3 linked regions of the Diceros bicornis minor genome follow. The protein of the gene in region 1 interacts with the protein of each later gene in a pairwise test. Links are inferred from orthologs where the notes say so. Each region holds a gene or a part of one and is shown in the gene's direction. Other genes may lie near its edges.

Region 1 (9,902 bases):
AATACATATATAGAGAGCACTCCATCCAAACACAGCAGATTACACATTCTTCTCAAGCACGCAAAGGACATTCTCAAGGACAGACCATATGTTGGGAAACAAGGCAAGTCTCTATAAATTTAAGAAGATTGAAAACATAACAAGCATCTTTTCTGACCATAATGCTATGAAACTAGAAATCAACTACAAGAAAAAACTGGGAAAGTGACAAAGATATAGAGACTAAACAATATGCTACTGAACAACCAAAGTATCATTGAAGAAATTAAAGGAGAAATCAAAAAATATCTGGAGACAAATGAATATGAAAATACACCATACCAACTCATATGGGGTACAGCAAAAGTGGTCCTGAGAGGGAAATTCATAACAATACAGGCCCACCTTAACAAATAAGAAAAATCCCAAATAAGCAATCTTAAACTACACCTAACAGAACTAGAAAAAGGACAAACAAAGCCCACAGTCAGCAGAAGGAGGGAAATAATAAAAATTAGAGCAGAAATAAATGAAATTGAAACCAAAAAAACAGTAGAAAGGATCAATGAAACAAAAAACTGGTTCTTTGAGATGATAAACAAAATTGACAAACCCTTACCCAGACTTACTAAGAAAAAAAGAGAGAAGGCTCAAATAAATACAATTAGAAATGGAAGAGGAGAAATTACAATGGATACCACAAAATACTATAGGCCAACAAATTGGACAATCTAGAAGAAATGGATAAATTCTTAGACTCATACAACCTCCCCAAACCGAATAAAGAAGAAAGAGAGAATCTGAATAGACCAATCACAAGTAAAGAGATTGAAACAGTAATCAAAAACCTTCCAAAAAATGAAAGGCCAGGACTAGATGGCTTCTGTGGAGAATTTTACCAAACATTTAAAGAAGATTTAATACCTAACCTTCTCAAACTATTCCAAAAAATAGAAGAAGATGAGACACTTTCTAACACATCCTATGAGGCCAACATCACCCTAATACCAAAGCCAGACAAAGACAATACAACGAAGGAAAATTACAGGCCAATATCGCTAATGAACACAGATGCAAAAATCCTCAACAAAATATTGGCAAACCGAATACAGCAATACATTAAAAAGATCATACACCATGATCTAGTGGGATGTATACCAGGTACACAGGGATGGTTCAACATCCACAAATCAATCAATGTGATACACCACATTAACAAAACGAGAACTAAAAACCACATGATCATCTCAATAGATGCAGAGAAAGCATTTGACAAGATCCAACATCCATTTATGATAAAAACTCTCAACAAAACAGGTACAGAAAGTACCTCAACATAATAAAGGCCATATATGACAAACCCACAGCCAACATCACACCCAACGGGGAAAAACTGAAAGCCATCCCTCTGAGAACAGGAACAAGACAAGGGTGCCCACTTGCAACACTTTTATTCAACATAGTACTGGAGGTTTTGGCCAGAGCAATGAGGCAAGAAGAAGGAATACAAAGAATCCAAATAGCAACAAAGAAGTGAAACTCTCACTGTTTGCAGACGACATGATTTTATATACAGAAAACCCTAAAGAATCCATCAGAAAACTACTAGAAATAATCAACAACTACAGCAAAGTTGCAGGGTACAAAATCAACTTACAAAAATCAGTTGCATTTCTATACTCTAATAACAAACTAACAGAAAGAGAACTCAAGAATACAATCCCATTTATAATCGCAACAAAAAGAATAAAATATCTAGGAATAAACTTAACCAAGGAGGTGAAAGACCTATACAATGAAAATGGTAAGATATTATTAAAAGAAATCAATGATGACATAAAGAAATGGAAAGATATTCCATGCACATGGATTGGAAGAATAAATATAGTTAAAATGTCCATACTATCTAAAGCAATCTACAAATTCAATGCAATCCTAATCAGAATCCCAATGACATTCTTCACGGAAATAGAACAAAGAATACTAAAATTCATATGTGGCAATAAAAGACCCCGAATAGCTAAAACAATCTTGAGAAAAAAGAACAAAGCTGGAGACATCACAATCCCTGACTTCAAAGTACACTACAAAGCTGTGATAATTACAACAGCATGGTACCGGTACAAAAACAGACACACAGATCAATGGAACAGAATTGAAAGCCCAGAAATAAAACCACACATCTACACACAGCTAATCTTCAACAAAGGAGCTAAGAATATACAATGGAGAAAGGAAAGTCTCTTCAATAAATGGTGTTGGGAAAACTGGACAGCCACACACAAAAGAATGAAAGTAGACCATTTTCTTTCACCAGACACAAAAACTAACTCAAAATGGATCAAAGACTTGAAGACCTGAAACTATAAAACTCCTAGAAGAAAATATAAGCAGTACACTCTGACATTGGTCATAGAAGGATCTTTTTGAATTCCATGTCTATTTGGACAATGGAAACAAAAGATAAACAAGTGGGACTTCATCAGACTAAAGAGCTTCTGCAGGGCAAAGGAAACCAGAATCAAAATGAAAAGACAACCCACCAGCTGGGAGAAAATATTTGCAAATCATATATCCAACAAGCGGTTAATCTCCATAATATATAAAGAACTCACACAACTGAACAACAACAATAACAAAAAAACCCAATCAAAAAATGGGCAGAGGATGTGAACAGACATTTTTCCAAGAAAGATATACAGATGGCCAATAGGCACATGAAAAGATGCTCAACATCACTAATCATCAGGGAAATACAAATCAACACTACACTAAGATATCACTTTACACCTGTTAGAATGGCTATAATTACCAAGACAAAAAATAACAAACGTTGGAGAGGCTGTGGAGGAAAGGGAACCCTCATTCACTGCTGGTGGGAATGGAAACTAGTGCAGCCTCTATGGAAAACAGTAGGGAGATTCCTCAAAAAATTAAAAATAGAAATACCTTATGATCCAGCTATCCCACTACTGGGTATCTATCCAAAGAACCTGAAATCAACAATCCAAAGAGGCTTATGCACCCCTCTGTTCATTGCAGCATTATTCACTACAGCCAAGAAGTGCAAGCAATCCAAGTGTCCGTCGACAGATGATTGAATAAAGAAGATGTGGGGGGCCAGCCCTGTGGCTTAGCGGTTAAGTGCACGCGCTCCGCTACTGGCGGCCCGGGTTGGGATCCCGGGCGCGCACCAACGCACTGCTTCTCCGGCCATGCTAAGGCCGCGTCCCACATACAGCAACTAGAAGGATGTGCAACTATGACATACAACTATCTGCTGGAGCTTTGGGGGAAAAAAAGAGGAGGACTGGCAGTGGATGTTAGCTCAGAGCCAGTCTTACTCAGCCAAAAGAGGAGGATTAGCATGGATGTTAGCTCAGGGCTGATCTTCCTCACAAAAAAAAAAAAAAAAAAAAAGATGTGGTATATACATACAATGGAATACTACTCAGCCAGAAAAAAAGACAAAAATAGTCCCATTTGCAACAACATGGATGGACCTGGCAGGTATTATGCTAAGTGAAATAAGCCAGACAGAGAAAGACAAACACCATATGATTTCACTCATATGTGGAAGATAAACTTAACACACAGAGAGAACAGTTTGGTGGTTACCAGGGGGAAGAGGGTTAGGAGTGGGCAGAAGGGGTGAAGGGACGCATTTATATGGCGACTGACAAACAATAATGTATAACTAAAATTTCACAATGTTATCAACTATTATGACGTCAACAACAAAAAAAATGTAAATCCAATTATGTCTCCTTCTCTCTCAGGTAAACTCGCTCCCTAGTGCACACACATCCTACTAAATAAACCCTTTAAAAGCCTTTTAGAAAATCAAACTCTTAACCAGGACTTCAGGGGTCCTCACTATCTGTCCCCACCTATTTCTCCAACCGTATCTGACAGCACACTCCCCGGCTTCTCACCAAGCTCCTGGGCTTTTCTAGCCCTTGACAGTGTGAAAGTCTTCACAGCACTTGGCGCTCTCCTTAACCTGGAAAGCACTGTCCCATCACCTTGCAGGTTTCAAGGTAAAAATCACTTCCCTATCCCAAACTAAAGTATTCTCCTGTTATTCTTTCAGAGAAACCCAATTGTTTTTCTTTGTAGGACTCCTCACAGTTTGTAATCTATATATTTATTGGTATATCTGTCTATTGTCAATCTAGCCAAGCGACTGTAAACTCCTGAGGGCAGAGATTCTGCTGTTTTCTTCACTCATGTAAACCAGCCTCTGCTGCAGTATCTAGCACAAAGCGGGTCCTCAAACACCTGGTGAATGGATGAAAGGAGGACACGTGAGTAATACTGCAAGAGAGATTTTTTCATTCTGTGATCTAAGGTCGGCTTGTAGATGCTACATACTGAGTGCTTATTATGTGCCAAAGATCCCTAATCCTTCCAACTCTGCATTGCAATAGACGTTATTTGGCCAATTTCATAGATGAGGCAACTGAGTTTCTCAGGAAAAACCTGCCAGAATTCCTACCCAGGTGGACGGACTCCAAAGCCTGTGCACTGCCCTACAATGTAGCCTTTCCCAGCCCTTCAATGGGGCCTGTGCTTCTTCCTAGTATCATTTAAGTGGCAGGCAAGCTTATAAATTTAAGACTACAAAGCAAAACTATACCCAAAACCCATCCTCACTGATGGGAGATCCAGTAAGAGAATTCAGTGTAACCTGATGGCTTTCCCTCTGAATTCGGATGGCTGAAATTAGCTGCCTTTAAAATATCATGACACCATGTTAAAATGCATCTTGCTACAAACACTATTTGGGAGATAAAAACTACAAAATGAAATCTGAAAGCTGCCAATAATAAATAATGCTAATGGTTTTCCAATATGCATTCATTGGCAATCTACAGCCTGTACCAGGATAATTTTCTTACACAAATTCCCTTCTCTACCTCTTATCTACAGTTAAAAGTAAATGGTATACTTAATATTAACTGTATATAAATGCACTTCCACAATCGTTTTCTGACAGGTAAAGACCAATCCACTTTATTATTATTTAAAACAAACAGACCCTTCCATCTTAAGAACATCCCACACATTTTAAGCAGGACTGTTTTAAAGGAAAGGAGTCTCTTAAACTGACTTTAGTATTTAATTCAGTAGAATATCCACTCCAATTTCCTAATATTGGAAATTAGAGAATTAAAAACTGTATATTAAAAGCATTTGGTATTAAAAGCATTTGTAAAAGGTTATTTTCTCAGTGCTAAGAAGCGCTGGCAGAAGTCTTAGGCAAAACACATGCCCTTTCGCCCGAGTTAGCTGAGCACTCCGGTCGCTACAGTTTGGAAGCAGGGAGCCCAGTGGCCAGGATTTCAAAGACCAGATATCGGGATTCTCCAGTACCGGAGGGCGAAGAGGGCCCGGCAGCTGTGGCGACCCGAGGCCCAGACGGGCCCGCTCAGGCCGAAGCCCACTCGCCGCGACACGGACGCTTTGGCCACACTCGACCAGGGGGCCGGGGACGGGCCATGGGGCCTTGCCACGTGAGCCACCCGACGCCACGGACGGCCGCACTCACCTCGGCGCCAGCGGAGCCAGCGCTCCGGAGCGCAGGTGGCGCTGGACGGCGAGCCCAGGGACGGCGGGCGGGGCGGGGCGCCGGGCGGGGGGCGGGGCGAGGCGCGGGTGGCTAGGAGCGGGGCGGGGCGGAAGCCTTGGAGAGGGAGACGGAACCTCGCGATAATTCTCCCTTGTTCTCGCAGTTTCACGATAGGTCGGACAAGAGGCTCGTTTTCCAAGACATGTCCCTATTGGCCGAGAGCAAGGCTTCCTCCAGACGGGCTCCGCCCATCGCTCGACCCTTGCTTCCGGCTGTGGTTGGGAGCTTGCTGTGTGGAAAATCGCCTTCTGCATAGTCTTTTGAGGGGATGATTTAGCCGGCCCCAACCTCAGAAACCGCCAGCACCTGATGTGTTTTTTCATTCATACGTTCGTTCAGGCACTCGTGCTCTCATTGGTCTCGGTTAAAGCATATGTTGAGGGATTACAATGGCAATAACACCCGAGCGCTTATTGTGTACCAGGCAGCGTTCTAAGAGCTGTGCATAGATTATCTCATTTAACCCTCACGCAATCCCGTGACACAGGTACTGTTATTATACCTTTTTGCCGGATGAAAAACTGAGGCCCAGTGGGTTTATGTAATGTGGCCAAGGTTGGTTAGTACGTAGCCTAAGCACAGGATTTAAGGGCTCACTGCGCGCTGATAGGGTTCCACAGCTGAGGCGGTGACAAAGTCTCTTGCTCTTGAAATACCTAAGGTCAATTGTGAGAAACGATCACTGAAAAGGGCAATAACAACTTAGTAAGTTAAATATTATGGCAGTTAATAGCCTGACTGAGTAGGACGTCAATATTTCCTGAGGATGAAAATTCCTTAGTCAGCGGAAAGAGACGTCAAAGGAAGAGAGCTTTATGCTGGTAAAAAGAAAAAAATACCAAGCATTGTTAGGGAACATTTAAAAAGCCAAACTTATTTTTTAAATACCTTGTTGGTTAATATGGCAACTTTCTTTCTCAAGTGAAGTTTGTTTATATTAATTTTCTCTCATGAAACTGCTGTTATTTATTGTTCTTTGAAAAGCTTGATTAATTTATTAACGGTTCACTGTCAAGCAACCTTAACTTTATAACTAGTTTCGCGTTGGTTTATTTAATTACTGTTAGAGATGAATAACCTAAAAGGCAGAGTTATACTAAATAAAAATAACGCCTATTCCAAAACAGGGTATGAGTTATAACGAAATACTTACCAATTACCTATTTATTAAACCTGGTCTTCAGAAGTTGATGTATATGGCATGGCATATGTCATGTAGTTCTAGGACCTTTGGTACAGGTTTCTAAATACCTAAGAATTTGTATTACTTAGAAATTTTTTGCTAGACGTAAAATGAGGAGACCTGTAGTTTGTAAAGAACTTTCTATACAGTTTGTAAAGAAAAATCTTTAGGGTATTAAGAATCAAGCCAAATAATAAGACTTGCTCCTAATATTGAAGAGTCACAAAAAAAGGATTAACAATAGAACAATACTTTTTTTAAAGTAATGTTAGCCTCTTAGTTTTCATTTCTTAAAAAAAGAAATATTTTAATGCATTAATTAACATCCGATATTTGATCATGAAAAATGAAGCATACTAGGGACGGCTCCGTGGCGTAGTGGTTAATATCGCGCATTCCGCTTGGCGGCCCCAGGTTCGGGGTTCGCAGGTTCTGATCCCCCCGCGCAGCGAGGCACCGCTTGTCAAGCCATGCTGTGGCGGTGTCCCATACAAAGTAGAGGAAGATGGGCACAGATGTTAGCCCAGGGCCAGTCTTTCTCAGTGAAAAGAGGAGGATTGGCAAGGGATGTTAGCTCAGGGCTAATCTTCCTCATACACACAAAAAAAGAATCATACTAAAATAACTTACACCCCCTGAAACTGACATACAGTAGCCAAGTGATTCTGTTAGTATAGTATCCTATGACCACTCTTAAAAATTCTCTAAATTTGTCTAGTGTCAATTTTCACATTTTGCCTCACTCAAAACAAGGCGGAGGGGATTCTCTCATTTAAGCTAGTGATTTTGCGATCTTGGACAAACTTGAACATCAACAGGCAGCGATACCACTTTAAGAAAATTCCAAGGAAAAGACAACCCCATTTTAAAATTCCCACCCCTGGCTCCCAAGGATTGGGTTACAAACTTCTACAAAAGACTCTTCTCCACTCCCTATTGGTGCATGCTCTATCATTCATTCTTCTGCCTGGAGTTTTGTGAGGTACCTGGTTGCTTTACGGGAAAAGGCTGCTCTAATTTAGTCTGGAACTGCCCTACTTGAGACTTTTTCATAGTTATCGATCTGTACAAAGAATCACCAAACTGCTAAGGGAACCAATACTGGCAAATCAGGCTGCCGAGACAACTGTGTAATTCGCTCGAAAAAGAAACGGAGAACTTCTCAAGCATACAGGGTAAATTTTTGACACGGATTTTACGACACGGAGATATGAGAGTTAAGGAAACTTTTCCAATTTTTCGCTAGTTTTAAAGGAGTAAGTGTCAAAGGAAAACCAGATAAAATAAGGGCACAATCTAAGAGTGGCAGGAAGACGAGTTTTCAGAGGGTGTTTTTCTTTTTAGGGTGAAGTTGGAAGAACATTATTGTTGGATTAGCAGTGGATTTTTGAATGGTAAAGGGAACAAGGTAATAAGATTAATTATAGATTATTTTATATTCTAAGAAGCTGTGGTTTGTTCTTGCTTTAATATGCATTTAAAGGGACACAGTAATGTTATTTGTAATTATCAAGTGGTGGATATTTTTGTTTACATATTATCATACCTAGCATAATAGACAATCCATCTATTAAAAGATATAAGAGAAAATTAGAATCATCTTTGGATCCAAATTTTGTGTATATTTTTAGATTAGGAGATCCAGGGACAGATCTGCTAATGACCAAGCGAAACATAATGTTGGTATATGAAGCAGAATCAGTAGGTAATTAATGTAAGGATAAATTTTCAAAAATGAAATCCTGCATTTATATTTTCAAAAAGATATTTTCATTAAAACTAAAATATAAAAGTTAAGGAAAATATTGATAAACAAGAATAACATATATTAAAACTTATATTTGAAATAGCAACATAATATTTTTTTAGGATCCAGACCAATATATAATTCCAAAATATAACATCTTAAGGATTCTTCAAACATTAATTCAATTAATAAATATAATACCTAGTGGCACATGTATACCTCTACAAGGCCTAACCCATAGTGGGTATACAATAAATATTTCTTAAGGGGCCTCTGTTAATCCATGTTTGTGGATATAAAATAATAAAATACAGTCTCTCAAGAAGCTCATACTCTAACTGGGAGAATGAGACTCAAAACATTTAAATGAAAACTTTTGGACAGTTCTTAATGCATACATGACCGTTACAGATCATACGTGCTTCAGGTGCTCAGATCAGTGTGAGCTGAAATAGAGAGAACTTCACAGCAGGGTTCAGACCCAATTTGGGCCTGAGCAATGGGCAAAGTTTCAGTAGATAGAAAAGAAGGGAAGTGGCATCCCAGGTAGTGGGTGAGTTGTTAGCAAATATGTGCAGCCTAGAGAATAATTGGCTCTGACTGCAGCAGAAGGTTGATTTGGGGACTTTAGTTTAAAAAAAAGCATGAAAAGTCACATGAAAAGTCAAAATTGCCAGAATTAGGGAGTTTGGTGCTGGGTTTTGAACAGGAGGGAGACCTCATGCAAGTAGTATTTAAAAAAGATAAAACTGACGCAGTTTGAGATGGCTCCAAGAGCAGAGACTGGAAGCTAGCTAAGGGGCTAAATAGTGATAACTAATAACTACAAATAATGGAGTACATATTGGTAGTAGCCTCTTAAGACATTTTATCCTAATAACTTTACTTTCGCCTAGTTGAATAACATCAATCTTGATGCATTTCTTTCTATTCTTTTAAAGCATTGAGCTTATTTTTTTGTTTAGCACTACAAATACAAATTTTATTAGATGTGGCAGTGTTATGGTGCAATTAAAACAGTAAAAGTGATTGTTGTTCACATCGCATCAGTCCTTGCTCCTTTTCCCTCCGAATTTCATTGTGTTTCTTCGTTCTATTTAACTGAATTGAAGGAATTTCAACGATAATAACAAAAAACCCTTATGAGGGAAGAATGCCATGGGAGGATGGAAGATGTTCTTGCCCAGACTGTAGGCTTTCACCTGACCTGTTTCTCTGAGACAAAACTCAGTTCCATACACTCAGTGAGCTGCTACCATGTGCCGGATACTATCCTCAGTGTTGGGCAAACAAAGGTGAATCAGGACCATCTCCCAAAAAAAGCAAAGTGATTCAGGGATACCAAGCAGGGTGTCTCTAGC
Region 2 (10,154 bases), on another chromosome or scaffold:
CAAGTTCTGGCTCTGCAGTGCCTGGGGGGGAGAAATGAGACAACTTCCACTTGAGAAGTGGAGTTCTTCCTATCAGAACATGAAAAGCTCTGCTCCTACCCTTCCGAATTTCTAACACCCAACCTTCTTCTGCTGTCCCTTCCTCTACCAAAGCAGCAATTCTCAACTTTAGTGGCAGCAACTGTGGGGCTGGATTAGTTGGAAGGCATACCAGTAACCTGTTACTATCTTAGTTGGTTACAAATGTTTGTCATTTTAACATAAAATGAATCAGATTCCAAAATAGTCCACAACAGTATAACTCTCATTCATTTGCATTCAGGAATATATTCTTGAGAGGAGGATAAAGGAACAGAAATACAGCTAGCACTACTGGGAATTGCACATAATCCATGCAAATATGTAGTGCTCATAAACATAATCCTACAGTACCCTAGATACTGTCAATCCCTTGAGTCTTCAGTTTTCACCCAGGCATAAGATCCCCTCATGGTCTTAACTTCCTACCCTCTACAGATTATACATCGTGAGCGAACAGGCAAACTACGTTAAAATGAGCACTCTGGCCTCTGTAGCACTCTTATCATTCTGCTGTATCCACTCAGTAAAACACCAACCCTGATTCAGCTGCATTCCCTACCATCTTGGCTCCAGCTCTCTGCTATAGAAAATTCAATAAATGTATATATTGGTGTTGAAGTACCATAAAGTCATAGTCTTTGTGGAGGATTTGATAGGTTGGTACTCATCATCTATTCAATCCTTCTTTTAATGTGCTTTCCAGTATTGCAGAAATGGAAAACCTAAAACAAAAGAAACACAAAAGCAAACTATATTTGCCAGACTCTTCTGCAGTTATATTTGGAAGATGCAAACGAGGCAGGGGCCCACTCCCTCTGCTTTGGCTGTTGTTGCTGCCAAGCACATTCTTGGAGACATCGGGTTTTTCTGCAACAGCATCCCAATATTCATTGACTAGTTTTATGGGATATGGTAGCCAGCCCCCAAGATAGCACCTAACGATTCTTGTCTCCTAGTATTCACATCTTGTGTAGTCCCCTTTCACAGTGAGTAAGGTCTGACTGGTGTGACTGATAGAATACTATAGAAGTGATCGTATGTGACTTCTGAGGCTAGGTCATAAAAGACATTGCTGCTGCTTCCTTGGCCTCTTGGATCATTCATTCTGGGGGAAGCCAGCCAATGGGGGAAGCCAGTATAGACATTCACACAGCCTATGGAGAGGCCCACATGGAGTGGGGAATAGAGGCTTCCCCCAGGACTAACCTGTCAGCCACCTTGGAAGTGGATCCTGTAGCCCCAGTCAAGCCTTCAGATAACTGCAGCCCCAGCCAAAATCTGACTTAATTCCATGAGAATTCCAGAGCCAGACTGCATTGCCAAGGCACTTAAAATTTCTGACCAACAGAAACTTTGAGAGATAATAAATTTTTATTGTCATTTTAAGCCACAACAGTAAGCAAATATTTATTGTTGTTTTAAGGTTTTGGGTAACTTATGAGGCAGCAATAGATAATTAATACATGGGGTTGAGAGTTTGGGCAGCAGCAGTGCTCTTGAAGCCAACATTCCAGCTTTCTATTTTACCACTTTCCCATTTGGGGCAGAGATAGCAGCTCCCTACGAGGCCTGTTTGGCCATGTTGCACTGAGAAGCATTCTTGATCACCCAGCCTAATGTCCACTCCTCCAATCCTTCCAATGACTTTGTAAGCACATATTCTCTGTCTTACATCTTTTTATGCTTTAAATAGCTAAATTGGTTTCTGTTCCCTGCAGTTGAGCTTAATCTAATAAAAATACCCATCTCAAATCAACAGCTAGACACTAGAGGCATTTCTGTTAAAGTCAGGAATAAGACAAGCAAGTTGGCTATCAAGGGTATTATTTAACATCAATCTGGAAGTGCTATTTCATTATTAGTCAAGATAGTGAAATAAGAATTGCAGAGAAGGAGGCAAAATTGTCATCATATATTATAAGGTGATATAATTGTCTACCAGGAAAATCTCAATGAATAAGCTGAAAATAAAAACTAGTAAGAAAGTGCAGTGGGGTAATCAGTTAAAAATTAACAAAAAAGATCAACAGTTTTCCTATGTAGCAGCAAAAGTCATTTAGAAAATATAAAGAAGAAATAATCTAGTCCAGTAGCAAAAAATGCATAAAATAACTGGGAAAAATAAATTAATAAGTTTAATGCAATTTCCATGAAAACTCCAGCTTTGTTTTGAACTTGGAAAATTTTTATAAAGTTATCTGGAAGAATAAATATTTAAATATAGGTAGAAAATTCTGATAAAGTAAGACTAACAAAGAAGGACTTGTCCTATGAGATATTAAAATATATTATAAAATTGCAATAAAAATGGAGTGATTTTGCTTCCAGAATGGTTAGACTGATCAACAAAGTAGAAGAAAAAGACCAGAAATAGATCCAACTATACGTAAGAATTTAATATATGGCATACATGTTAGGAAATCAGTGGGGCAGGTATGGATCGTCCGATAAATTGCATTGTGGCAGATAAGTTTTTGAAAAATTATATTCATATGTCACATTTTATAAGAGAATAAATTCCATTTGGATCTAATTGAAATAAGTAATCACTCATGTTGTTAAAAACTCTTAGTAAAATATAAATAGAAGTAGTTAAAGAAGTTCTAAAACATATAGGTCAACATTAGTATTATTTAGGCCAATACACTCTTTTTAGGCTTAACACCAGAGCCAGAAACCATGAAGAAAATTTTGAAGATTGACTATTTAAAAATTATAGCAAAAGAAGCAATTTCACTCCTTCCCTCTCCCAATAAATGATCAACAGGGGAAAATATTGGAACATATATGACACAAAGGTATGTTTTCCTTATAATGCAAAGAGTTCATATAAATCAAGAAGGAAAAAGACAAATTTTCCTTGACAAACATTTTCTTCCACTTCAAAGAAAAACAGGCTCAAGAGGTGAGAAGGCTATTCACATTGGAAGTCAATTGGTCATGTGAAAAACACTCAAACTTCTAATAATCAATGCAAATTCACACAAAAAGATGCCACTATTTATTTATTTGTTTATTTTATTTATTTTTTCCCCCAAAGCCCCAGTAGATAGTTGTATGTCATAGCCGCACATCCTTCTAGTTGCTGTATGTGGAACGCGGCCTCAGCATGGCCAGAGAAGCAGTGCGTCGCTGCGTGCCAGGGATCCGAACCCGGGCTGCCAGCAGCGGAGCACACGCACTTAACCGCTAAGCCACGGGCCCGGCCCACCACTATTTATTTTTGCATTGACACATTTTAAAAAGAATGAATCCACTGTCACTGAGTGGGTAGGAACTAAATACTGTCAGATACCATTAATGAGAGATACCTTTCTGTAGGTAATAATGGTCTATGTACAAAAATTGTATCCAGAAATTCTACTTTGAAGAATTTATGCTAAGGAAGTTATAGGATAAGTGACCAAAGATGTTTGTACAACATTATCATGTGGATTATAATAGTGAAAAATTCAACACAACCTAAGTGTTATCAATGAGGAACTGGTTGAATAAAAGTTAGGAAGTTCATGAAATGGAATTCTAGACAGTCATCAAATATTAGTATGTGGATCTATATTTAGTTGCATGCAAAATGCACACAATATATGCATACCAAAACAGTAGAGTTCAAAGAAATAAAATAAATCGGTGTGTCTGTACATAGAAAAACTTTTTATATTATACACCAAAATTTTAATAACAGTTATTTTGGGGTAGAGTGTGGGTAATATCCTTCTATCCATTTCTGCATTATGTGAATCTTTTGCAATGACCATTATAACAAGAAAAAGAAAAAACAGCTGTGAAGGAGAGAGCGAGAAGACTGAGGAGAAGAAAAGGGAGAAAGGGCAAAGAGGGGGGGAGCTATTTTGGGTAGGTTTACTCTTGTTTCACTTGCTTTTTTTTCTGAGGCTACCTGGTAAAAACTTCCTTCTCTTTCAGTTTTCAACTTTTCTGTTAATCCAACCACAGAGGCTCTTAAGCCATGTATAGTCAAATCAAAATCTTGTAATCTAGGAAAAAAATGTAATAAATCAGTCCATGATCTTGAATTTTGCCTAAGGAGAAAATGCAGTTTGATGGGATTACCAGCCACACAAAACACCTGCAACTCAACACAGGCCACACTGATCACATTGAACTGTGTACTGTTCTACTTTAGCAAAACTTTTCCTAATGGGAAAGTCAAGCACGACATGGAGGTTATTTATTTATTCTTCTAGATACCATAGGACATACTTATATTTGCCTCTTGCATAATTGTTTTCATTTAGCTGAGTTTTAGTGTTATGCCTTCAGCCAAAACTGGAGACCTTCTTCATTCACTCATTCAACAAATATTTATTGAAGCCTAAGCTGTACTTACCTACTGTTCTGGATATTTGGGACCTAATCTGTGTCCAGCTTTCCCGGAACTTGCTTTCTAAAGAAACAGCCCTATGACAATATCTATTGTTGAGGCTATCTGCTACTTTATTCAGTATCCCATAGAGAAGTTTTTTTAAGATAAGAACTGGAAAAGTAGTCAAAGAATTCATATATACTTTACTCATGAGCAAACAAAGGAAAGTTTGTTTCTCTCTGTTGTTTGGCCTGCCAGGAAGCTCAGTCTATCGTTAGCTCAACTTGAGTAACTGTGTAATATTTTATGTCCATCCTATTCCAATACTAACCTCTCTCCCTTTGGGAACTCCTTATCTTCCTATTTCATCTATATTTTCACTGGCCTTGCTTTTTAAAACTTCGAATTGTTTTGTTTCACTGTATTCTAATGTATTTGTAAAGTGGTTCAAATTTCAAATACCTCGTGGGATTAGAGGAACAAGATAACACCATGAGGAAACAGACAAATCCAGAATGTGGTGCATTTTTCAACACAAATGACCTTGTCTCTTCAAAAAGCCAATATTAAGGAAAACTAAAAAGTGAAAGGGACTACTCTAGTTTGAGAAATGGGGGAGAAAACCCACAAAAACATAACCAAATGCAGTAAGTGACACTTGATTGGATCCTGGCTCAAAAGACAATATTCCCTATGAAAGATTATTTTGAGGAAAGCTGAGGAAATTTGAATATAGCATGGGTTATAGATATTAGCGAATGATTGTTAATTTTCTCAAGGCCTGATAATAGTATTATGATTATGAAAGAGAATGTGCTTATTTTTAGAGAAGCATACTGAAGTATGTTGGGGTGGTGTGTGTTGTCTGTAACTTTGGGATGATTCAGCAAAAAAAAAAAATATATATATATATTTTACAAACATTTATATACAGATAAAGCACATATGGCAAAATGTTAATTGTTGAATTGTGGAGCCTGAGCATTGGCTAGTATTGTTGAATTAGAATGGATACCGTACTATTCTTTCACATATTCTGTATGTTCGGAAATTTTTATAAGGAAAACTTGGAAATATTAAATTATGTATCAATGACTTATTTACCTCTCTTTTCTTTTAGTATTCTGTAAGTGTTTGAATGAAAAGGTACTGTATTATAACGGAAGGGAAAAGGAGCAATTTTAAGCGGGATCTGATCGCTAGTCTTATATCCCAGAGAAATCCAGGATAACGTTAAGACTATTCATAAATTTGGTATCTAAAAGATCAATTCTGAGCGAGAGTGGTTTCACTAAAAGTGGAAGCCAGAATAGAGAGTTGAGAAGTTAGAGCTGAGAGGGTAGGCCACTCATTAAACCTGGGATTTGTTGTTATTTTTGCCGCTGTTACTATGACATCACTGGAGACCTGGAATCACTCCCACTTCAGATCTTCCTAACTCTCGCGATACCAGCGCCTGGTGGCGCGCGAAACGCCATAGGAGGGGCTGGGGCGAGATCGACCGACTTCCGGCCAGGCCGTTGTCTGGGTGGCGCGGCCGAGTCATCTCTTGGCTTCGCCGCTCGGATCTCCCATCCCTCCCCCCGCCCCGGCGCGGGGGGTCGACCAGCCAAGAGGGGCGGGAGGCGACTCGGACCCTCCTCTTCATTTCGTTCTGGCCAGCTCCCCGGCTACCCGCGCTGGGGCCTGGGGTCCTCGGGGCCCGCGAGGCCCGGTCTGAGAGGCCGGGGCCTACGTGGGCCCGCTGCTGGGCCCCATGAGGCATAGCCTGACCAAACTGCTGGCGGCCTCGGGCAGCGATTCCCTCACCCGCAGCGAGAGCCCGGCGCCGGCCGCGACCTGCTCGCTGCCCCCGGACTTGACCCGGGCGGCAGCGGCGGCGGAGGAGGAAGAGACGGCGGCGGCCGGATCTCCCGGCCGCAGGCAGCCGCGCGGCGACGAGGCCGAGTTGGAGGCCGGGAGGGGGAGCCGCGGCGGCGTGGCCGTGCGCGCGCCCTCGCCCGAGGAGATGGAGGAGGAGGCGATCGCCGGCGTCCCCGGGGAGGAGACGGAGGACATGGACTTTCTGTCCGGGCTGGAACTGGCGGATCTGCTGGACCCCCGGCAACCGGACTGGCACCTGGAGCCCGGGCTCAGCTCTCCCGGGCCTCTCTCTTCGTCCGGCGGAGGCTCGGATAGCGGCGGCCTGTGGAGAGGGGACGACGACGACGAGGCCGCGGCTGCCGAGATGCAGCGCTTTTCTGACCTGCTGCAGAGGCTGTTAAACGGGATCGGAGGCTGCAGCAGCAGCAGTGACAGTGGCAGCGGTGAAAAGAGGCGGAGAAAGTCCCCAGGAGGCGGCGGCGGCAGCAGCGGCAACGACAACAACCAGGCGGCGACAAAGAGTCCCCGGAAGGCGGCGGCGGCTGCTGCCCGTCTTAATCGGCTGAAGAAGAAGGAGTACGTGATGGGGCTGGAGAGTCGAGTCCGGGGTCTGGCAGCCGAGAACCAGGAGCTGCGGGCCGAGAATCGGGAGCTGGGCAAGCGCGTCCAGGCACTGCAGGAGGAGAGTCGCTACCTACGGGCCGTCTTAGCCAACGAGACCGGACTGGCTCGCTTGCTGAGCCGGCTGAGCGGCGTGGGACTGCGGCTGACCACCTCGCTCTTCAGAGACTCGCCCGCCGGTGACCATGACTACGCTCTGCCGGTGGGAAAGCAGCAGCAGGACCTGCTGGAAGAGGACGACTCGGCGGGAGGAGTGTGTCTTCATGTGGACAAGGATAAGGTGTCGGTGGAGTTCTGCTCGGCGTGCGCCCGGAAGGCGTCGTCTTCTCTTAAAATGTAGGGTCAAGTAATCTGCTCTTTATCCGCGTTTACCCCTTTCAACTCCCTTACACCATGTAAAACACCTTAGTGGGACATCTTCACTGGACACATTTCAGAGGAGGAAAAAAAAGTAATATTGAATCTTTAAGTGTTTAGCTAAAAGCATGAATGTGACACTGTAACCAACTCCTAATGATAACATGTGACTATTAAATCTCTCTGACAGTTTCTTTTTTAGGTGATTTCCTTCCTGCCAGGCTCCGTTGTAGGGGTTACAGAACAGTCGTTCCCGCCTCACAACCTGGTAAGGATCCATCTCTTCACGTAACGCTCATGCTCTGCTGCTTAGTCTACTTTAATGGGCAACATCTCAATTTGTGTGTGTGTGGTTTTTTTTTTTTTTTCTTTTTTGGAAGGTGGGAGGGAGATCTAATTTGGGCCCTGTCCACCCTGGAAACAGACTTGTGCTGGTCAATAATGTATTTAAGATGCTTCTTCTGGTTAAAATAGCTGTTAATGTGTCCCCTTGTTCAGACTTGCGTGTACCTAGCTCTTCTGTCCCCAGTGTGGACATGGCCTTGGATGACATCGGTTCCAACTGTACACTGAAAGCTGCTAATAGAGATACAGTTTGGAGACAGTGACACAGGTGAAGTTGAATGGAAGTTCCGAGTTGTACAAGGTGCAAATTGGAATTCCAATTTTAGAGCAACTTTTCAGAGGTTGACAATAAGTATTTGGGGCATGCGCAAATGTGATAGTTTTGCTGGAGATGACAAAAATCTCTTAAATATTCAAGAATGCCTTTTAGTTTTCAGTAGAAAATCTAGAAATACAATCTATTCAGATTAACAGATTGTAATATCTCACCATTAGAGAAATTGGAAATTAATATGCATATCAGATTCCTGTGTTAGTTAATTGAAGGAGGAATAAGAATGGTTAATGAAATGTTTCTCTGAGGACCAGCACAGTGATTACCCTATCACTGAGTATGAATAAATTGTTGAACACCTTTATTTTTGTTGTATTAAAATTTTAGGTTAAATTTATGTATGATTAGATATTGAAGGTTGTGAAATGTGAATGAAAACGTGTAAAGTGAGGCTTCACAAAGAATCTTATTCTCCATATTTCAAAGGTATTTGTTCTATTTAAAAATAATTTTAAAAATTGAGTGGTTCTGGCTACTTAATGACACGATGGACACTTTTTCCAAACATGGGACATATTCTCCCCTTGAAGTACTCTATTATCTATTGTCCAGTTGTATAAATTGAGTTACGGTGTCCTTCAGTGTAACAGGCATTAAGAAATTCTTTGTGAAACATCACTGTTTGATAAAGTATATACGTATTTAGCATCCTTGTTTTTCTTTGTGCTAAAGTGGATACAGCTGTTGGGGCAGAAGAGACGGGACCAGCTGCTGGCCACATTTCCTGCTTTATTTTAAAAGGTAGTATAAGAAATGAGGAAAAAGAGGTAATATCAGGGCTTCTGCTGTCTTTTATTTTAAAATGTCCATAATAAGTATTTTCCAGCAGTCCAAAGATGTAAGTTATCTTACACATAAAATGTTTTATTTTGTTGTTATTTGGTTATGAAAATGGAATCCTTGTTCTTGCACAACTGTAAATGTTTTGTTGCTAGATAATACGATTTGAGACCTAACTTGGTCTCTGGTTTCCAGTGCATCACAGTGTATTTTGTAAAATCATCTGCACTTGAGCATGAATGGGTAGTAGCCAAACTCACAACCTGGAGTGATGAACCTGCTTATACCTAAGTGCAGGAGCAAGCCCCTCACAATGCAGCTGCATGGATTTTTAGTGCCTACTGAATTATATATATATATATATATATATATAAACCAAAAGTAGTTGGAAAAATTATTTGAAATGACTAATTTGTGCTATCTTTATGGAATATGTTAAATGTAGCTTTTTGAAACAGAAGCCTTGAATTGAAATTTAATTAATACTTGAACATTTTGTATATATTTCTTTGTATATAATTTTGTGCAGTACCAATGAAAAAATACGGTGTCATAATAAAACCAGGTTTGTTGATCTTTCAGTTATGGGCTCAAAGAATTTATTCATCTCTAACATGACATTGGAAAATAATGGATGACAATAGGAAAAATGATTGTTGTTAATGCTGACTGTGGGTCTTAAAAGGTTCTGGAAGCAGTAAGTGCGTTTTTCTAACAATTATACCATTCCCTTGGAATATTTCCTTCCTAATGTCAATGCTTTTCCTGCATTATTTGAAGTTTGGGGCTGGGGAGAAACAGTAGTCAGAGCTTTCTGAATTGGGATGCTTTGAAATTCCAAGTGTAGATTTTTAGAATGTCATTTTATAAATGGCAGTTTTTGGAAATACTTGATTAAGAACTTTTGAAAATGGAGATTAGTATCGCCTATTTTTAAAGCTGCTTTGTTAGGTTCCTTATGTTTTAACTGTCTTCTTAGTTTCCATATCATTCTCTTTTTTTTCTAATTTTTGGTGACTTAGTGATTTTGTCATTTTTTACATCAACTTCATGGTCTTGTTTTTACATGGTATTGCATGTATTTAGGATCTTTCTAACAGGGGCTTTAAATAAATTTGGTCATATTTATGTGTAAGCACATTTTACTGTAAACGTTTGAGTTTCTGAATTTACAACAGATCTGTTTATTTCAGTATGTAGTAAACTATACCTTAAAAGTGTCCTATTCACTACTTGCTAATTAAAAAAGTTATGATTAATATGAAACTGTTGTCTTACTATTTTTAGAAAATTGTGTTCTGAATGAGTAGTAGTTGGATAAAGGAGATTTCTGAAATATGGCTTGTTTTGAAATTTTCAGGTTTGGCTCTATTTACTGTAATGGATAAAAACAATTTAGTAGTTGGGGAACCTTTTTTTTTGTTTTCCTAATTTTGCCTCTATGGCACA
Region 3 (10,798 bases), on another chromosome or scaffold:
CCTTTAGAACCCAAACTTTTAAGTTTGGGCTATTTATGTGTAAGTGAATGAGGCGGTCTGTCTGTCAGAGCGCTTTTGCTTTCCTGTGTGGCCATGTATAGGGGGAGGGGTAGTGAGCACCCCTCCCCTTTCAGTCTCCATGTCCAGTATAAAGGAGGCGAGAAGTATAAAGTGTGTACTCAAAGTGTAAAGGAGGTGGGACCGGGGCATGGACCCTACCTGCTCTGGTTGACTCTAACATCCTACAAAAGAAAAAGAACATGCACTTAGTTTCCACATGTCCTTCCCGTCAGAGACTCTGTACATCCTTTCTTCCTTAACATATGAGCTCAAAACTCTCCTCCTCCAGGAAGTTGTATCTATTTAATTACCTACTCATCAGACTGTTCTTTTACATCACGCTTTCTTACTAATTTGGGACTCCATAGTCAGTTCATTTGAGCTGGTTTCTCTGTCTCAGCCTTATCCTGGGGGTGTGTTCTGCCTCCAACGATTAAGGGATGGTGGAGAGCAGGGACCAGGCCTTAAGTTGTTAGCTGGACCTGATGTGAAACAGGATAATATAATGATAATCACAACTGGCACCATTTATTGTCTTCTTCCTGTGAGACAGGGCCCATGCTAAGCATTTTGCATGGATTGTTTCTTATAATCTTTGCAACAACCCTATGAGAGAGGTGCTATTATTATCCTCATGTTTAGGGAGGTTACAAGACTTGCCAAGGTCACACAGCTGAAGAGCCGGCACTCAAACCCAAGACCGTCTGACTCCAAAGCCCTTGACAAGACCACAGTGCGTGGGCAAGCCACCCAGCCTTTCTGGGTCTGCATCTCCATAACCTCCCTGCGCCAAAGGAACCCAATAACTGTTCGTCCCTCCCATTAAAAATAACCTCTGCTTCCCTTTCCTGCCTCTCTCCAGCATCTTCCAGCCCCCAGCAGGGTGTCCCCTTCCTGTAGAATCCCCCTCCCATCTCACGAGGTGGTGGATTGTCTCTCACTTGTAGAAGCTCACTTGCTGGCTGCTGACACTTCTCCTCCAGCTCCTTGACCTGGGCCCCAAGCCGGGCCACCTCCTCAGAGACCTTTGAGATGTACTCGTCCCTCTCCTTCCAGATCTGCCGCTCCAACTCCCTCAGCCTGGCCAGCAGGAGACATTGCTGTTCCCCCAGCTCCTGCTGCAACCTCTCGAAAGCTGCTTCCACCTGCTGTTTCTTGCTTTCAATCTGAGTCTGCGAGTGGTGGAAAGACAAATGTGGTTAGGGAAAAGCTCACAGAGCTGGCTTCCAGGAGGATCATCTATATACTTACCATTGATTAAGAAGGATAGGAGGTAACTAGTTCCAAACTCTTTCTCCCAGATAATACTCTGGTAGAAGTAGGTAGGTCTCAGAATAAACTTATCAATGATGAGGGCTATGCTCTTGTCTTACCTAGAGATTCTAATAATAATGCCACATTAGGTTCTCAGAGCCATGTTGAACTTTTTAAACATCCTTCACATCTCTGATATCATCCTAACCCTACCAATCCTTCCCTAGAGTCAGGTGGAGGTGATTATAGTCATGTCTTAGCAATTGAAGAGAAAGTAAGCTGTGATTAGAGTCAGCACAACTTATTGGAAGAGTGCGTAGCATTGGTCTTAGCCACTGAAGTCGCCACCTACAGGGCATACTTGGATGGGAGTTGAGGAATACTGGAGAGACCTTCCCGTCCCAAAACTCTGCCGCTTTGGTCAAGGTACCAGAAATTCCCACACTGTGGATTTCTTCCTGGATAACTTTGTAGCATGAAAAAAGAGATGGGAAGGAGCCAGATATAGCCACACCATTAGCCTACTGTCCTCGGAGTCAGCCTTGGGGTCAGGACTGGAATGCAGACACTAATATATGCCTTCTGGACCCAAGCTTCCCATCTGTAGGCCACAATTTCAGGCAGACAGGCTGGAATGGGAAGAGCAATGGACTAAGGGTCAAGAGACCCAGGTTCTAGCCATTTCATCGTGATCCTGGGCTTTGCCATGTGGCCTTGGGAGCATCACTTTCCTGGACCTCAATTTTCTGCTCTGTAAACAAAATGGCTGACAAGATGGATCTGAGATTAGAAGACGTCAGAACAACTTTCGGCTCTGATGGTCTGGCATTTCACAACCTTGACTCCAAATGCCCGTGTGCAGAGGCAGGGAAGTGAATGATAACAGCTTGCTGGTTCTTTCCAGCCAGGCAACAGATACCACACAAGAAGCTTTCCCAGAGTCTATTAAGAATACCCCCAAAGGAGATGGTGGCCAACGACATGGTCTTTACCAGGAGCACATGGAGCTTCTGGTCTTCCCGACTCTTTTTGTCCTCAATCTCATCTCTCTCCACGCTCAGAGCTTCCAGCCGACTCCTGAGACGATCCTATGGGGAGAAGAACGGGCAGAGAGAGGTGACTTCATTCATAATTCAACTCACAGATATCAATTGTCTACCATGTTCCAGGCACACTGTTGAGTGCTGAGGAATTCAAAGGTGAAAAAGGTGCAGTTCTTGTCCCTAAAGAGATCATCATTTAGGGAAGAGGTTTGTCACAAGTGATTAAAATACAAATAGACAAATGCAATAATCGAAGTGGGCACACAGTGAGATGGGAGCACAGAGGAGCAGACAATTCTGCCTGTAGGGTCAAGGGAAGGTTTTAGAAATCAGAAAATATTTGGAGTGGGCCTTCAAAGGTAAATTTCCAGCTGAGTAAGAGAGGGGGAGGACGGTACTTAATGCCCCTGAACTTAAAAATTATTAAAATATTTAAAAAGAGAGAGAGTGAGGGGGGAGAGTGGCATTCTAGGAGGAAGGAACCACATGTGAAAAGTATTAGAAGCAGGAAAGAGTAAAACAATTCAGAAGACAGCCAGTCCATAGGGGTCAGTCTGGCTGGACACATGGTGCCTTGGGGAGGACAGCTGAGAGATGAGATTGGACGGGAAGGCAAGATCCCAACTGCAAACTACTGTAAATGCCTTGTTAAAGATATTGAACTTTCTTTGGGTGCTAGAGATCCTTGGAAGGATAGTAAGCAGGGGAACATCATGATTGGCTTTGTGTTTTAGGAAGATCTACCTCGTAGCAGAATGGCTGGTGGTTGGAAAGGTGAGAGTGGACACAGGGAAAACGTTAGAGATCATGCAAAGTCTGAGTGACAGATGGTGAGAACCTGGATTTGGCAGTGGCTGTGGGGACAATGCAGAGTTAAAAATTTGAGAGATGCTTCTGAGGAAACCACTTCCAGACTTGGTGACTGGATGACAAGAGAGAGATCTGAGAGGCAGACAGGAATGGATAATGTCTCCTAGACCAGATAGGCTAAGCCGCACCTCCCTTTTTCAAAAAGAAGAACAGCACTTGCAGGTTGCCCTTCCCGTCCCTCTCTTCCCTCTGAGCCCCAGAGGTCAGGGCTTTGGTAAATCCCATATCCAGTCTGGATACTGGGAGACCAAGTTCACCCAGCCCATAACCTGCAGCAGATCCTACTCTGCACTGGGGCTCTCTTTCCTTCCACAGACAGTGAAGCCATGGCCACGGTTCTTTGTGCTCCATCACTGTGGGGCCCCTTGAGGGCTGGAGCTAAATTTCCCCCTAAGACTGTGAATGACCACACGGCTTAGTGGAACTGTGTCCCCCTCAGTCTGGGGCTGTCTCCAGTGTCGCTGCAGCCTTGGGGTACCCTGATATGGAAGCTGTGGCCCTTCACCCAGGTCCCCACCCCCTTCCTTCACCACGACAGGACACTGTCCCACCCTAAACATGTCCTAGCTAGAGCCACACTTCTTACCCGGTAGGGCTGAATGGCCTCGTCGAGGAAGCCCACGGTGTGGGCCTGGTGAGAGGGACCCTCACGGCAGAACACACAGAGTAGCTCAGCATCGTTCTCACAGAAGAAGTAAATCTTCTCGCCATGCTCCTCGCAGTAAGTCTCCCCCAGAGGGCCCAGGGGCACTGGGACCATGACAGTCTCTGCTCGCTCCTTCTCCTTGCAGAGGGGACAGAGCAGAACCCTGCCGGAAGGCTGGGCTCCCATCTGGGAGGGCAGGGCGAGGCACAGCCGGCAGAAGGTGTGTCCACAGGTGGCCGTCACTGCATTCTCCAGGGATCCCTTGCAGGCAGGACAAGAGACCCTCTCATGGGAGGGGGTTGAGGGCATCACGGTGCCTTCCCCAGCTGGTCCACTCAGGCCTCTGTCTCAGGCCACATGAATTCTCTTTCCCTGAAATTGAGTCACTTTTACATGAGTCACAGAAGGAAAGCAATAGGAGATCAAGAGAGAGGAAGCAGGAATGTCCGGACAGGGAAGCCACCTGGCTCCACCTCTTGTGCTTCCCCGGAGTCCTGGCCACCACCCATCAGTAGAGCGGGTGCAAACTCCAGGGCTTCTCAAATTACCCAGCATTTCCCAGTAGTGGCCTTGTCAGCCTGTTCTCCACTCCTTCTGACTCCTTCTGACTCCTTCCAGTCCCTGGGGTGGGGAGCAGAGCATGCCGTGAGGTCACAGGGAGACAGGGCTTCCTGGAATCCCTCCCTTGACCACAGTGGGGTGGGGAGAGCTGGGTAGGATATGTGTCTTCCTGTTCAATTGAGCAGGTGGGAGCCATAAACTTCTGGCTTTGAGGTGTGACCACAGTGACAAAGTCCAGGCTGGAGTGGGCAGTGACTGACTTCCGGCAGACTGTTCCGGGGGACCTGCACTGCAGGTCCACCGTGGGATGATTGCTCGTGAGACTCCCTCCTCTGCCCTCCTTTCCTTGCCTCACCTCATCTGCCCAGGCTGGTGTCTCCTAAACTCTGAACTCCCGCCACCCCCCAGCGCCAGTGTCCCCACTGGAGTTTGGATAATGTACCATGATGCAAATGATTCATGTGGATAAACAAAATTTAGAAAACTCAGCCAAGAAGATAAACAGACTCAACCACATTTATCTAAGGCTGAGTATTCTCATATTATGACATCCAATCTGATAACAGCCTTTGAGGCAGGTATGACTACCTTCATTTTACAGAGAAAGAATCATAAACTGAAAGGTAAAGTGACTTCCCCAGGTCACAGAGCTAGAAAGCCGCAGGTTTGGGTCAATCCAAGGTTGCCGGCTTCCAGCCTATGCTCTTCCCGAACTCCAAGCCAAGACAATGATCAAATAGCCACGATTCTTCATCCACTCACCTGCATCTGTGGATAAGACCAAGGAGAAACTCCCATTCTCTCACCGAAGGATCAGCCCTGCACCCGTTTTCCCTCCCCTTTCACTTCAACTAATTTGTCTATCACCTTCCCTTGCCACACTATCTGCCCCCGACCCAAGAGTGCATCCCCTGGGGCTACGCTGTCCAACACAGGGGCCTCCAGCCACATGTGGCTGCTGAGCATTGAGACGTGGCCAGTCCCCACCGAGACGTGCTGCCTGTGTAAAATACACCCCAGATTTCAAAGACTTAGCACCAATGAAAAAGAATGTAAATGCCTCATTACTAATTTTTTATACTGATTACACACCGAAATAATCATCTTTGGGCCTAAATAAAATATTAAAATTATTTTCACTTTTTACTTTTTAAAATACGGCTACTAGGAAATTTTAAATTGCATATGTGGCTTGCATTATATTTCTCTTGGACAGCACAGCTCTAAGACAAACAGATCTGAGCGCAGATTATGACCACCCCCTTCCTACCTTGTACCCTGGGCAAGTTAAATAACCTGGCTGAGCCTAGCTAATATCCTAATGCACCGACGTTATGCAGCAGACAGGAGGAATAAATAAGATCACATGTTTAAGTTTCTTACATCAGTGTGAGGAATACAGTCATCATAAACAAGAGTGAGCTGTTGCTATTTTTCTTTCTCCTCCCCCACACAGAGTATATTCCAGCCTCTTTGGAAGCCTTGGGCAGGCCGGTTGGGGCATGAAGTGAAGTTGACTGTGCCATGCTCCCTGGGCACAACCACCTTATCTGGGTCCCCACACTTCCCTGGGCTGGCTGATATCTCCAATCTCCCTGGAGACAGCTGGTGATAGTGCAGGGAGGCTGAGTGGCATCACTGCTCTGTGACCCAGTCTCCCTCCTGCCCCTGAAGGAAGAACGACCTCGTTCAACTGTGGACAGTTAAGATACCACCACTTTCCTTCTGCTGTGAGTGTCTCTGGACGGACTGGAAGGAACGGTGAGCCCCAGGCCATGGGCACCAATGGAAGAGTAGCTGAGGTCATCTCTGAGATGCTGTGGCCCTGCTTTCTTCCTTGCCTACTTCCCCTCCTCTGCTATTTCTCCATCTCTGCTGTTGGAGGGTGTGTGTCTGTCCCTTTGGGAGGAGAACAGCAGAACTACGGCCGCCAGAGAAGCAAGTGGGAGCCATGCCCTTGCGCATGTGTGAGTGTGTGTGTATGACTATGAGGTTGTTGGTGTGTATTTAGGATGTGCCTGTGTCCAGCTGCGTGTACATGTAGGTGTGTGAGTGTGTGATGTGTCTTCACTGTTCTTCCAGCCCTTCTCCCTCAGCCAAGCAGACTGGGTGACCTTGAGGAGGCCACAGGCACAGCAGCACCATGGCCTCGGCCGCCTCTGTGAGTAGCCTGGCAGACGAGGTCAACTGCCCCATCTGCCAAGGCACCCTGAGGGAACCGGTCACCATCGACTGTGGCCACAACTTCTGCCACAGCTGCCTCATCCGCTACCTTGAGATCCCTGCCCCAGAGGCTGACGAGCCCACCACCTGCCCACTCTGCAAGGAGCCTTTCCGCCCAGGGAGCTTCCGACCCAACTGGCAGCTGGCCAGCGTGGTGGAGAACATCGAGCGCCTCAAGCTGGTGTCCATGCCAGGCTCCGAAGAGGAGGACGTCTGCCAGGAGCACGGGGAGAAATTCTACTTCTTCTGCGAGGATGATGAGATGCAGCTGTGCGTGGTGTGCCGGGAGGCGTGGGAGCACCGAGGCCACACCGTGCGCTTCCTGGAGGATGCAGCAGATCCCTACCGGGTAGGAAAGGGGGGTTCCCAGGGTGGGTCTGGGAATGAACCAGACTAAAAGAATCAGAGCAGAGTTGTGGATGATTTGGCCCACTCTGAAGCCAAATTCTGTCTCCCTACTTCTATCATCACCCAGGCAATAGACCCAAGCATGGAAGATTATGTGTTTGTGTTTTAAGCATTGTGTTATGTTGTTTACATATGACCAACACATAATAAGCACTCAATAAATACTTGTTGAACGAATGAGTGACCAAAACATGAGTGTATGTGTCTGTGCAATGGATCAGTCAGGTATATCTGAGGAGGTCTGAGTTTGTATTTGAGGGAATGATTGCACAAGTGGTGTGTATATGTATTAATGTTTGTATGTTTGCCAGTGTGTGCTGGTACACACTGGAACCTTTGGTAGAACTTTGGGGGAGGTCTGACTATTTGAGTGTGTAAATGTAACCATTGGAATGCTCGTGTTTGTGAATAAATTACCATTTACATATATGCAGTTTGGGTAGATTTATATGGTGTGTAATTTTATCTGTCATTAAATGAGTGTGTGCTGGTTTTAGTTGTTTATGTGTTGTGTTTTAGTACAAGTGGGTGTCTATGTGTATGTGTCAATTAGTTAACAAGCATTTGATGGTGAGAGTTCTAAATGTATTTTGGAATGTACCTAAATGGACATTTATGTGAGTATACCTGTGCCTAACTCTATTCTAGAGCAAGCAACTTTTAAAACAATTCATTGATTATTTTTGCATTTTCCAAGTTTCTTCTTCCCTCCAGAATCATACATAGAAAATTGATTCAATTCACAAGGGAAAGTTGTTTGGATGTGTTCCCTTTGGGACATGTGAGAAAGTTGGAATAATTTCAAACAAGGGCCTCTGAAGCTCAGGACAGATCCCAGATATCACTTACCAAAGGCAAAAGAAATTAGGATGTTTAACTGAAGAAAGGAAGGCTCAGGTGGGAACATTGAGTCACAGCCTGTGATGGCACAGGATAAAGGGGGAAAGCACTGATCAGAGTTCTTGGAGGACAAAGCAAAGGAACAAGACCCAAAGAGAATAAGCTGTCAAGGGTGATTAAGGCCCAGGGAGTGACTCCTTCCCTTGGGTAATTCCATTTCTGGAGGCAGAGGGTTGGATGAGACGCCACCCCCTGACAAATCATTGTTTCCATCTTAAATATTTTATGCTCCTTCTCCACTTTATGCTCCTTTTACTCTCCTTCTCTCCAGAAACAGATACAGAAGTGTCTTGAGAGTCTAAGAAAAGAGAGAGAGGAGATTCAACGAATCCAGTCAAGGGAAAATGAAAGAATACAAGTCCTCCTGGTAGGTCATCATCCCTTCCCTGTGCACCCTCTTCTTCAGGTCCAGGGCTTCCCTGAAACAGAGGCAACATAGCACATAGGACTTTGAAGTCATTCTGAGTTTAAATCCTGACTGACACTCAACTAGCTCTATGACCTCAAGCAACTCTCTATCCTCAGTTTATTTATCTGTAAAGTGGAGATTAAAAATCGTCACTACCTCACTGAATTGCTATAAGGATTGAATGAGACGGTGCCTGCCATGTAGCTTAGTGCCATGCACATAGTGTGCATTTCATAAAAGGCAGGAGCTAGGGTGTCACCACCACCTCTCCTACACCTCCTCTGAGCCCCACCCTTTTAGAAACTCCAGCAGAAGGTGCCGAGGCAAGGCTGGGCGGTCTAGCTCCCAGAAATGGCATGACAGGTGGAAAGGAAACCGTGCTGCGTTTCTAAGTCTGTCTGGGGACCCAGGGGGGTTGGGCGGGGGGCTCTGATTTTACCACCAGACCTTGGAAGATCTGGGCCAGGAGGGAGATGGGCATGAACTAAGGAAAAAGGAAGAGGAGAAGGAGGAGGAGGAATAACTTCCTCTCACCCCCTCAGACTCAGGTGGCCACCAAGAGACAAAAAGTGATTTCCGAGTTTGCACATCTGAGCCAGTTCCTGGAGGAACAGCAGAACATTCTCTTGGCCCAGCTGGAGACGCTGGATGAGGACATCTTGAAGCAACGGGATGAGTTTGACATCCTGATCACCGGGGAGATCTGCCGGTTTAGCACTCTGATCACAGAACTGGAGGAAAAGAAAGAGAGGCCGGCAAGGGAGCTCCTGACGGTGAGACCTGAGCTACTGCCCACCTGTGCTCGCCTCTATTTTACTGCGTCTCTATCTAGTCTAACCCATGCCTCCTTCACTCACACATCTCTGTATCCCAAGTGGAAGCTGAGTCACAGGACAGAAGTTCTAAATTCTTGTCCTCGCTTCCTCAAGAGTCCACTGGTCACTTTGCTCCCTGGTCTTGGTCTCTCTGTGCCACCATCCATCAAATAGGGAATACTTTCCTTAACTACCTCACAGGGATTTTGTGAGGATCCTACAGTAAGATGGAAGTGAAAGTAGCACTTTGAAAAGCCTCATGTACTATGCAAACAAATGTCAGGTGCTATTTCCAAGGTGAGCTATTCTCTGTGTCATCATCCACCAGTCAGGAAGCTGTTCCTGGTCTATTTCACTTCCTCACACTGGAGGAGAGATATTGGGGTCCCAACAAGGCATCAGGAAGGCAGCGTGATTCAGGGGAACACAGTCAGGGCTGAGAAATAGGAGACCATGGGATGGGACTAGCCTTTGCCTCCAGCTAGCAGGAGCAGGTCACTTCACATCTGAGTCTATAAAATAAAGGGGTTGGGCTCCACGATCCCTGAAGCCTTGTAAACCCTAAAACTCTGTGACTGTAGGATCTGGTGTCCTTCTTCTATCCAGAGCTAGGAATATGATATTTTGTCTTTTCTAGTTATAAGAAAAGTGGGATGGGGAAGGTGGAAACTGAATCACTGCTCTCTCTCTCTTTCTTCTAGGATATCAGAAGCACTCTAATAAGGTAAGTGATACGCTTTTTCACTTCTCTTTTCCCACATACATGCACCACATGCCTAGTTGTTGCCATGCAAATATACAACATTCTCATTTTATTAAAGATAAAAATTCACACATAAGCTTTCACATACTTGAATGCATTCCCTTGTACAGCTGTAGACACACTCCTGCATAGCGTTGCCCAGGAGTGGGCAGGGAGGTCCATCCTAGAGCAAGTCTGTCTGCCTGTGGGAACTGGCATCTCCTTGCCCAGTGAGAAGAAGGCAGCTAGCTGGGTCTGGAGGCATTGCTGAGGAGGATAATTCCCCGACCCTACCATTTGTGTGTCCCTAGGTGTGAAACCAGAAAGTGCCGGAAACCAGAGGCTGTGTCCCCTGAGCTGGGCCAGAGGATTCGGGACTTCCCCCAGCAGGCCCTTCCGCTGCAGAGGGAGATGAAGGTGTTTCTGGGTAAGAGGACCCCACAGGGCACAGGTGGTCTTGAAGCGTGGGTTTAGGAACGGCCTCCATGCTAGGCTGCCCGATGCTCGTGTGACTTTTGGCAAGGCTTGTACCCTTCCCGTGCCTTGGTTTCCTTATTTGCAGATCTTTATAAAATCTACTTATCAGGATGATGTGACAATGAAGAGAGATAGTAAAGGTGAAGATTTCTGGAAAAAAATTGAGCTGATTTGAAAAATAAGTAAATAAATAAATCTGATCAGTTGGCATTAAGCAATATAAAAGATAATGATTAACAAAATTTGTCATTGTCAATAATTTAAAAAAAATCCACAGAGGCATTTGTAATACATGATAAGTTTTTGACGATGAACACTGTTAATTAATAACCAGCAAAAGTAGTTCTCTTTGCCCTGTTGGTCACTGACTCCTCTCCCTCCTCTTTTCTC

The links. The genes of interacting proteins can lie anywhere in the genome.
Region 2: the proteins of TTC23 (region 1) and CREBZF interact in binary tests that used the Homo sapiens proteins (3 or more experiments, as listed by UniProt). The two-hybrid records come from large-scale screens. The link is inferred for Diceros bicornis minor from reciprocal best matches to the Homo sapiens genes TTC23 and CREBZF.
Region 3: the proteins of TTC23 (region 1) and TRIM10 interact in binary tests that used the Homo sapiens proteins (3 or more experiments, as listed by UniProt). The two-hybrid records come from large-scale screens. The link is inferred for Diceros bicornis minor from reciprocal best matches to the Homo sapiens genes TTC23 and TRIM10.

Annotation. Positions count from the first base shown.
Region 1 is NC_080744.1:82,144,678-82,154,579, forward strand, and holds the start of TTC23 (tetratricopeptide repeat protein 23), read left to right. Parts: upstream 1-5,907; 5' UTR 5,908-6,098; intron 6,099-7,797; exon of another isoform or gene 7,798-8,202; intron 8,203-9,902. UniProt on the Homo sapiens protein: Participates positively in the ciliary Hedgehog (Hh) signaling.
Region 2 is NC_080746.1:46,857,949-46,868,102, forward strand, and holds the start of CREBZF (CREB/ATF bZIP transcription factor), read left to right. Parts: upstream 1-5,933; 5' UTR 5,934-6,161; coding exon 6,162-7,225; coding exon of another isoform or gene 7,226-7,229; exon of another isoform or gene 7,230-7,436; coding exon 7,437-7,452; 3' UTR 7,453-8,666; exon of another isoform or gene 8,667-9,964; intron 9,965-10,154.
Region 3 is NC_080753.1:35,796,954-35,807,751, forward strand, and holds the start of TRIM10 (tripartite motif-containing protein 10), read left to right. Parts: upstream 1-6,577; coding exon 6,578-7,006; intron 7,007-8,236; coding exon 8,237-8,332; intron 8,333-8,916; coding exon 8,917-9,147; intron 9,148-9,890; coding exon 9,891-9,913; intron 9,914-10,242; coding exon 10,243-10,358; intron 10,359-10,798. Other genes in the region: E3 ubiquitin-protein ligase TRIM15, read right to left, coding at 220-242, 1,002-1,232, 2,307-2,402, 3,814-4,182. UniProt on the Homo sapiens protein: E3 ligase that plays an essential role in the differentiation and survival of terminal erythroid cells. May directly bind to PTEN and promote its ubiquitination, resulting in its proteasomal degradation and activation of hypertrophic signaling.